Linked DNA regions of Arabidopsis thaliana. The protein of the gene in region 2 interacts with the protein of the main gene of each other region in a biochemical or structural test. Each region holds a gene or a part of one and is shown on either strand. Other genes may lie near its edges.

Region 1 (5,068 bases), on a different chromosome or scaffold from region 2:
AGGAACCACCAAGAAGATGAAGATCTCTAGAGAGATTGCTGGTGTCTTTGGGTAAGTCATGACCATTCCATTTCTTATTTGTGAACACCAAGTGGAACTCTTTAGGTTAGCCACTCATCTTAAGAAAGCGTTAGTTAGGGTGTTCGTTTGGCAATACATAATGAAAGCAGAACATTGATCATACTTGATAACCTTGTTGAGTGGCAAAAATCGCATATGCTGACCAGTTTATGTGTTTTCTTTTGAAAAAAACTTGCAGCAAGACGACGCAGGTACAAGAGATTTTGACTGTTGATGTGAAACCGGGGTGGAAGACAGGCACAAAGATCACATTCTCGGAGAAAGGAAATGAGCAACCCGGTGTGATACCAGCGGATTTAGTCTTCATCATAGATGAGAAGCCTCATCCGGTTTTCACTCGAGAGGGTAATGACCTCGTAGTCACACAGAAGATCTCAGTTCTCGAGGCCTTTACCGGCTACACCGTCAACCTGACTACACTTGATGGTCGGAGACTGACCATCCCAGTCAACACTGTGATCCATCCCGAGTATGTGGAAGTGGTTCCAAATGAAGGAATGCCGTTGCAGAAAGACCAGGCTAAGAAAGGCAACTTGAGGATCAAATTTAACATCAAGTTCCCTACAACGTTAACCTCAGAGCAGAAGACAGGATTGAAGAAACTTCTCGGATGAATGGAGTTAAAATCAGCCCAGTCCAGTTAAAATCAGCCCAGTCCAGACAAAACAATGTAGAATACGAGAGGAAGTATCAAAGCTCCTATATATTGTGATTAAATACTGTTGTGGCCTTTCTGATCGATTTGTAGCATATGTATGAATGAGTACTGTTGTGACCTTTATGATCGATTTGTAACGTATGTATAATTAAATACTGTTGTATATTTCTGATCGATTTGTAACATATGTATGATTGAAGACGCCTAATAAGTTTGCTACTTCTTCTATAATCCAAACGCTTCTAAACTATGCCTATAAATGCAAGAGCATTGTTGTTTGTAATCACATCCTGATCTTGATGTGAAGTAAACAACTGCAGCACTATAGATATCTCAGTCCAAAAAGGTTTACTGTTATCTCCTGAAACGAATTCCTGAACAATGTTGTTCACTTCTATCAAACTACCACCTGGCGTTTTCTTCATATTTTCGTTCCTTATCATCTTTCTCAATCTCGAAACATCCTCCCATTTTCCCAAATCTGCGTAAATATTGGCAAGCAAAACATAATTTCCCATATCCTCCGGCTCTAGCTCCACAAGATGATCCATTGCAACCAGAGCAACATCAAGATTGCCTGGTGTTCTGCAAGAGCTCAACAATGAACCCCATATCTTCGAGTCGGGTTTCATCGGCATTGTCTTTGTTATTTCAACAGCTCGTTCTAGTTTTCCTGCTCTTGCCAAAACATCAATCAAACAGCCATAGTGTTCGATCTTAGGTTCTATTTGATAATCTTGTCTCATCATATCAAAATACCTCAACCCTTCTTGCCACATACCAACATGTGAACAAGCTGATAAAAGACCAAGAAATGTGATCCCGTTAGGCTTCACCTTCGCTCTCTGCATTTCATTGAATGTTTCGATTGCTCCGTGAGCGTTCCCGTGATATGCATACCCAGAGATCATCGTACTCCATGATATAACATCTTTCCCTTCCATTTGGCCAAACAATTGGATAGCTTGACTAATCACACCACATTTCGAGTACATTTCAATAAGAGCATTGCAAACACCAGTTTGTTTCAGAAACCCTCTTCTCTCTGCATATAGATGGATCCATTTCCCAAGCTCTAGAGATCCGAGCTGCGCACACGACGGTAAAACAGAAATGAGACTGATCTCATCAGGCTCAATACCAGCTAACTGCATTTCACGGAAGAAATCCATAGCCTCTACATAACAACCAATCCCAGTATACCCAGAGATCATCGCAGTCCAAGATACAATAGTTTTATCTAGCATCAAATGAAACAAGCCTTTTGCTTTCTTCATCTGCCCAAGCCTTGCATATCCAGAAAGCAAACTATTCCAAGATATAACATCTCTCTCATACATTTCATCAAACACTTTATGTGCATCAACAAGATCATCAAACTTCATGTACATATCAATCAATGCATTCTCAGTCACAACATGGAACCTAGGCCCGAATTTGCAGAGATGACCATGAACTTGCTTCCCTAAATAACATGATCCAAGACTCGCACAAGATTTAAACATAAACGGGAAAGTGAACCGATCTGGTAACTCAAAGCTCTTCCTGAGCAGTTGCTTGTAGATTCTGATCACATCGCAGTACAATGAATTGTGAGTATAAGCACGAATTATAGAATTGTATAAGAAGACATTAGGATTCGATACTTGGTTAAAAAGACGAGTTGCATAATCCATATCTTCAATCTTATCACAAAAATCCACCATTTTAGTGACCATGAAGCTGCTTTGTGATAATCCATGTATGATGATGGAGGCATTGATCTTCTTCCATTCATTGCGGCTTTTGACTCGCTGTAGAAAAGGTATAAAATAGTTTTCAACTTCTCTGATTCCATGAAACGCCATTAAAGCTAGATTAGGAAGCTCGTGGTGGTGGAATCAAATTGGCTCCGACCTAACGTCGTTAAACCCAGATGTGTGTCTCTCGGGGTTCACCAAACTTAGGCCAAAAGCCCAATTCTCATTTTCAGGCCCATTTGTTTGATCTTTTTCACAGCCTATTTTCCAGCTTTGTGAACATCATTATTACCAAATGTAAACAACTTGTAAAAACATAAATCTTTTCTTTTCTTCTTGATCTCACAAAAGAAAGACTACAAACGCACGATAGTGTCTGAAATTCACAAGATAGAACTCATAGCTTTTGGTCTAAGAATCCGTGAATTGAAAATACGATTATGGAAGAAGAGCTCTGGTGTGGTTTAATCATATCATTCTCTACTTCTTCGGCTTCACATCAAGGTCCATAGCCTGTAGGTTAAGCAACAGATCGTTAGAGCTCAAGTAAACCTTGTTCGCCGACCTAGAGATGGTCTGTGCGATCTCTCTAGCTGCTTCGATCTTCCTCAGTGTTAAGAACGCTTGGTTGTTTGCGATTGCTTGACCAATGAGCTGAGCACTCTTGGCTTCTCCCTACATAAACCCATGCAGAAACATCAGTTAGCAAGCTTTAAAATAGTTCACAACAAAAAAGAAAAAAAAAAGCAAGCTTTAACACAATCTCCGGTTTTTAAAATGCTAGAAAAGAGAGAAACACTTTTCACACCTCGGCGCGGATAACAGCACTTCTCTTGTCCTGTTCAGCTTTCTCGACAATGAACTTAGCCCGTTCGGCCTCTTGAGCAGCGACCTGCTTTCCTTCTATGGCTGCCGTGAACTCCTTTCCGAATGTCAAGCCTGTGATGGACACATCATCCAGTGCAATGTGGAAGTTTGCGGCTCTTAGAGTTAGGATTTTCCTGATTTCTCTACTCACCGACTTGAAAAACACCAAAAAAACATATATCCATTAAAAGGGACATCAATTTACCATTGAAGAGGAATCAATAAAATGTATTTACAGCCAGTTGGCTAACCTCTCTCTGAGTAATAAGTTGGCTTGCGTTGTACTGAGCAACCACAGCTTTCAAGGTCTCGTGGATGATAGAAGGCAAGACTCTCTCGCGGTAATTCTCACCAAGGGACCGGTATACCTCTGGTAATTGGTCAGCCATAGGACGGGTGAGAACCCGAAGCCCAATCTTAACCTGAATGTTTAAATACCACACAACATAAGCTTATCATGTAGTTCACACGACAAAACCACACGACCTGATTATACCCATTAGTATTAGAAGTGATGAAATGAAGCGGAATACCATCTGGAGATCACGGCTCCCAGATGTGCTCTCAACTAGATAAGGCTTTGCACGAACGTCATAGATGATTGGCCTTTCGAACCATGGAATCATAAGGTGAGTACCCTCAGGGTAGACCTACATAATCAAGCAAGCAAAGATATACTATTAATGGCGCATCAAGATGACTTTTGTAAACGACTATCAAAACTAGACTAAGAAATCAACCTTGTTTACTTAAGCTAGATGCGGCAAACACAAGATTCACTACTAACGGTAAGCCTAACCTAACGTGAGCTATATGCCGCAAACATAAGATTCACTAGTAATGCTAAGCCTAACCTAACTTCAGCTAGATGTCACAACCACAAGATTCATTGTCAATATACAGATTCAGAAGAAACCAATTTTTGCAGGGACTAACCTTGTCTTTGATACCAACAAGCCGGTTAAAGACAATGGCTCGATGACCTCCATCGACATTGTAGAGAGTGTGCGTAGCACCGTAAAGACTGAGCCCCCCAATAACCACCGCAGCTATAACACCACCACCAGGACCTTTGGGAACTTTGACATTCTTAAAATTCATCTTTTCACGAACACCTGCAAATTTGGAACCCAATCAAAATCCAAGGCAGAAACAGATAAATAGAGAAACGAAATGCGTTTGTAGATTAGACCCAAGGAAAACTTGGATCAACGAAAAAGAGACAAAGATAATCTGCAAATTAGCTGAAACGAAACAAAAACTTAGATCACAAAATTGAAGCCGAAGAATCTGAAGCTTTACTCGCTTAAACTAAGAATTCGATCTATAATGAAAATGGCGAGAGGAAGTACCTGAAAATTCTGGAAATGGCGTGGAGAAGAGAGAAGAGAGGGGTTAGGGTTTAAAGCTCAGAAATCAGGATTTTGTTGACGCTTTGGTCGATCACGCATTTTCTGTTACTAGAGATCTTTGGGCCCAAAATTTGTATTCAGGCCCATTAGTGAATTCACTAATTTATTTATTTTTCTTAATATATTTTTTTTTTAGTAAACGATTTTTATTTATTTTTCTTAATATATAAACGGCCATATTTGACATTTCCTTACTTTCTATACAAAAGAAATAATTCTCATTTTGATTAATAGATAGTAGATTAATTATTATCACTTTTCAAAAATGTAACTTTCAAACCCATATTTTGTTGCAAACTGCAAAGGCTCTA
Region 2 (4,966 bases):
ATACAAAGAAAGTTGTTTACAGTTATGTGGCACTTGTTCAAGTATGTTTGTATAAACTGAAATCTGGGCTGATATGTGTAGGAGAAGAATCATGGAAGGACTTGGTTCAGAACCCAGATAAATGGTGGGACAATAGAATCGACAAGGTAGGATACCAATATCTTTTGCTCGGTTTTTCATCAATCTTTCCAAGAAACTGACCTATTGTCCCAATATCGTTTTTGTTTTGAAGAGAAATGCAAAAGCCCCTGATTTCAAGCACAAGGAGACAGGTGAAGCACTGTGGCTAAACGAGTCTCCTACTTGGGTATTACCGAAACTGCCACCAGTCAAGAAGAAACAAGAAAGTATTGTCTTTTAGCTTTAGAAACATTATCTCCATGTAAAGAGCTCCAAGTGTTTACAAAATTCATCATTTCTATTCAAAGTGGTCTTCAAAGTTCCGTTTGATTTTTGGTTAGTAGACTGAATACAGTAGCTACAAGTGTGGACGATTCCAAATGTCTCAGGTAAAGCAAGCATATTAGGTCTTAAAAGAACTTCTAGAAAGAGTGTTTCAATTTCACAAGCGCAACCAACAACGTTAACAAGCTCAACTTAAGAGAAAAAAGGACTAACTATTGTCTTACAAAGTAGAAAGATGACTAAATACTATTTACTGTAAAACTTAATAAAAGGCCTTTGACACTTCTCTCCTTATTCAGCTCAATTCACTGCAGCATGCTCTCTGTCTAGTACCTTCTTCCCTGTGGAAACTGAAACACAGGACCATCTCAGTAACAAATATGGGGAAAATGGGGTACTTTAATGCCTGATGAGGATATCAAAAAAGAAAGATGCAAGATTCATTATTGATCGAGATCTTACTTGGTCAGACCCGGGCTGGCCTGCTGGATTATTGTTGTTCCAGTCTCGATTCCTCTGATCTGCCTGTGGGAATGTCTGATTCTGCTCTTGTCCTGGTCCAGAATACCCCTGACCATAGCCAGGATTTCCAGCTCCAGGTGCAGGACCTAAGTTTCCAGCTCCAGATGCAGGACCAAAGTTTCCAGCTCCCTGTGGATTGTAATTCCTAGGTCCTCCTTGGTTGTAACCACCTTGTGGCCCTTGACTATAGTTCCCAGATCCACCTTGACCGTAACTGCTTTGTGTTCCTTGGTATGGAGGCACTGGAGATCCCTGGACTTGATTGTAACCTGCCTGATATGGAGGCACTGGAGATCCCTGGCCTTGATTGTAACCTGCCTGATATGGAGGTGGTGGAGATCTCGGGCCTTGGTTATAACCTCCTTGAAATGGTGGAGGCGCTTGAGTTCCCTGACCTTGTCCTGGAGTGGCATAGCCCTGTTGAGGACCATAGCTCCCTCCACCACCTTGCATTGGTGGTTGCTGACCATACTGTGTGTTTCTTTGGAAGTTTTGGGGACCACCACTTCCTCCTCCTGAACGGTCAAATCTAGGACGAGGTCTTGCTCTGCCACTCTGAATCGGTGGTGGCCTGTGTGTTATCACTCCATTCTCGTATTTATCTCCTGAAAACAAGAAACATAATTTTGTTGATAGAGTCCCAACAACAAATATCCAAAATAAGACCAGTTTGTAAAAAAAACCAGCTCACCTCCATACTCTTTGTTCTGGGGATCAATGTAGGAATCTGGCAAGATGAAAACCACTCCGGGTAGATCTGTTTACATATACCAATAACAGAGTCAATATCTGGTGAAAAAAGTTGAATTCAAAAGAAAACAAACATAAATGATTCGAACTATATACCCTTGAACTTTTCTGATTCTTGTTCAGTCATGATTGCTTGAAATCCTTGGTAAGTAGTTGTGCTACAAGCATACATCCTTTGCTTAGCCTCTTCCACGCTGACTCAACCATAAACACCAAAAATGAATCAATATAATCGTCTTAACCAATATCAATACCAGAAGAAGATACACAAAAATCAAAGCAGAGCTATATAACAGTGAATGGAACCCTAGCAATGGTAAAGTTCTCACATTTAAGTAACTTACTGAATGATTTTTGGACAATTTAGCCAAAAGCAACGAATCTAAGCAGTGACAAAAATTCATCTACTAACCTGATGCCAAGTCCTTGGGCGCAAGTTTCTTCATAAGCAGCGACCATTTCTTCTGGAGACTTAGGAGTTTCCTCTTTGGAGAAATCCATAGTGATAAGCCAGTGATTATAATCACATCCTTCGAACAACACAGTGTCTTCCGTGATCTCATCACCTTCTTTGTAAAGCTTGTACTGCCTCGTTGAAAACAGTCTCGCCGGTGCTCGAGTAGCTACTTCCGTCGAACGCCCTATAACGGATCTCTTTAACACCGCCGCCGACACAGAAGGGAAATCAGACGCTGGTGTGATCGAAGAGCTAATTGATCGGTTAACATAGGAAGTCGCAGTGAGTAAAGCTCGTCGGAGACGGTGAGATATCATAGCCATCGTTGCCAGAGAAATTATGAAGGAGTGGAGAGTATTCTGGAAAGCTTTGGAGAAATGAAATTAGGGTTTTTGTGTGGGTTTTACAATATCTAAATAAATAGTAAATTACTTTTTAAGTCCTTATTGTTTCAAATGTTTTTAGTTTCCGCCTAAAGTTTCAAATTTATCACTGGGCCAAAAAACTTAGGCCTTAGCTTTTTACTATACCGCTGTCGTTTTATAACTCTCTGTTTGTTTCTTCTTCTTCTCCCTCTCTATTTCCGGCGACTGTGAATTATGTGGTCGGCGACGTTATCTTTCCCTTCTTTTGTGGCTTCTTCATCTTCTCTACCTAATTACAGGAACCTTAGGTTTCCAAAGATTAAAGCTTCGCTCTTTAATTACCCTCTAGCGAGCAAAATCATGGTCAGAAGTAAGATTCAGATTATCTTTTGGTTTATATTTGAATTCGCTTCTAGCTGAGATTAGGACATGGTTCTGTTATTGTTCCAAAAGTAATTTATGATTCTGGTTTGATTGAAATTAGTTGATTTGAGTCAGGATTGTGACGGTAGTCATATGTGATAGCTCTAAGCTCTTGTAGCAATCATTAGTGAAGTTGAAGTTGGTTGTAACTTCAACTTGGTAATTACTCTACGGTTCTGATGTTTCTTCACTTTGAATTTGTAGATTTACCGTTTTCTACAAGTGAAGATTTTCTAAAGAGAGAGTTTTCAGCTTTTGGAGAGATAGCTGAAGGTATGTTTGCGGTTTCAATTTTACTCTGTTTTGTTGCTTTAAGGTTCAGTTTTATGGCATTGATATGTTCACTCTTATACTTCAAAACAGTTAAGCTTATCAAAGATGAGGCAATGAAGAGATCAAAAGGTTATGCTTTTATTCAATTCACGTCTCAAGATGATGCTTTTCTTGCCATAGAGACCATGGACCGTCGGGTAAAAGCTTCTTTCAATCACAAGTTTACATTTTTATGTCTTGAAATCAACCTAAATGTTTCCCATTCCTCTGTTGCAGATGTACAATGGCAGAATGATTTATATAGACATTGCGAAACCAGGTAAACGTGATTTCCAAGGACTGCCTAGGACTTCTGGTCCACCTGAGAAGTCGGATGAGCCAGAAGAAGCCGCTAATGATGAGGTTGCTGATTGCTGGTATTAGTTGTTAGTATCAAGCTCACCAAACTGTAACTGAACTTGTATAAATCAGATGTCAAATCATGCTTTCTTATTAGGAATATGATCAATGTGAAGAATGTTGTTTTACTGATAAGCAATTATTGACACGGTTCCAGTTACAGCTCTATCGGTTTCTACAACCACCATATTGTTGGAGACATTGGTCACTGCATTTGCAGGGATCTGTCCGGATTGAGCGAAAAACGAATGCTGGTAATGGTTTATCCGGTTAGGGAATACCAAAACAGGGGAAAAATCAGCGATCCATCGTGTTCCATTTGCGGAAACCATGGCCTTTCCGGTTGTTGATTTCAGCATCATCCCTTCTGCATTGTTTTGATCAATCACAACTTGATTAATATCATGAAACTCTCCTTCTAGCTTGACAATCGGGAAGTTGTTTTTGGCGGTACCGCTAAACATGTTGTTGACGATGTTTACACCGGAAATCTTCCCGTGTACCGATCTCAAGACGATGTTTGCATCTCCTAAGAACAAAGCATTGGTGACATGAACATGGACAGGGTCTTCTATGACTATACCTGTGTAATCAAGGTAACAATTATCTATCCTCGTTAAATGTGATTTCACTAGAATGCCAATGCCACCAAACCATGTAGCTTTATTGTAGCAATGCACACCCGTAACCATATTTGCACCACCATTCAAAGAGATACCGATACCAGCCGAGAAAATCACTACATCCGTAATGGCATTGTCGTTACTCGAGATATCGATTCCTGTCCCAGTAAATCCTCTTTCTTCTCTGTCTCCTCCTACCGTTGAATGTTGCCCCAAGAAGGAGTTTGAAATGTATGTCTCATGACCTCCTTGGACTTTAATCCCTTGCGTTGTGAAATGGAGGAAATAACAATTGGTTATACGGATACGAGCTGAGTCAATCACCAAAATACCACCTCCTCGGAATCTTGAGTCGAAGAGAACATCTTGGAAGGTCACATCCTCATAGAAGATCCCAGAGCTCTGGTCTTTCTGATCGGAGAAAGACTCCTCTGGCGACATTTTCATTGGTTTCTTAGCGTTTGATGCTACAAGCTCAACTAAATGCCTATCACCAGGAAACAGTTCTGATGCCCGGAAAGTCCCACCTTTCACCTGAATTACACCGAACAATGTCTTAAAAGACTCAAACCTTTTCATAAGTTTCTTAAGTCAAATTTTAAAATGAGGGACTAACCACAAGATTTCCGCCACCGGAGGAAGGGAACCTGAGAGGTTTTCCGATCATGTAACTGCCACCTTGGAGATCAATAACTAGACCACCTAAATCAGCGACACGTGGCAGCATCTCAAGTCCAGTTTGTAACTGA

The links. Proteins that work in one complex are often made in the same cells at the same time.
Region 1: the proteins of MORF1 (region 2) and MEF21 form a complex in vitro, tested with the Arabidopsis thaliana proteins (one study listed by BioGRID).

Annotation. Positions count from the first base shown.
Region 1 is NC_003071.7:8,841,678-8,846,745, reverse strand, and holds MEF21 (mitochondrial editing factor 21), read right to left. Parts: upstream 2,596-5,068; 5' UTR 2,587-2,595; coding exon 982-2,586; downstream 1-981. Other genes in the region: AT2G20550 (HSP40/DnaJ peptide-binding protein), read left to right, coding at 1-51, 260-695; PHB6 (prohibitin 6), read right to left, coding at 2,959-3,153, 3,287-3,499, 3,597-3,767, 3,879-3,995, 4,282-4,446.
Region 2 is NC_003075.7:10,843,629-10,848,594, forward strand, and holds MORF1 (multiple organellar RNA editing factor), read right to left. Parts: upstream 2,520-4,966; 5' UTR 2,458-2,519; coding exon 2,090-2,457; intron 1,872-2,089; coding exon 1,774-1,871; intron 1,685-1,773; coding exon 1,619-1,684; intron 1,533-1,618; coding exon 805-1,532; 3' UTR 774-804; downstream 1-773. Other genes in the region: PTAC9 (plastid transcriptionally active 9), read left to right, coding at 82-146, 233-361; AT4G20030 (RNA-binding (RRM/RBD/RNP motifs) family protein), read left to right, coding at 2,734-2,869, 3,127-3,195, 3,286-3,392, 3,472-3,618; AT4G20040 (Pectin lyase-like superfamily protein), read right to left, coding at 3,720-4,751, 4,834-4,966. UniProt on the Arabidopsis thaliana protein: Involved in organellar RNA editing. Required for the processing of numerous RNA editing sites in mitochondria. Binds to the mitochondrial MEF19 and MEF21 factors, two pentatricopeptide repeat-containing proteins involved in RNA editing.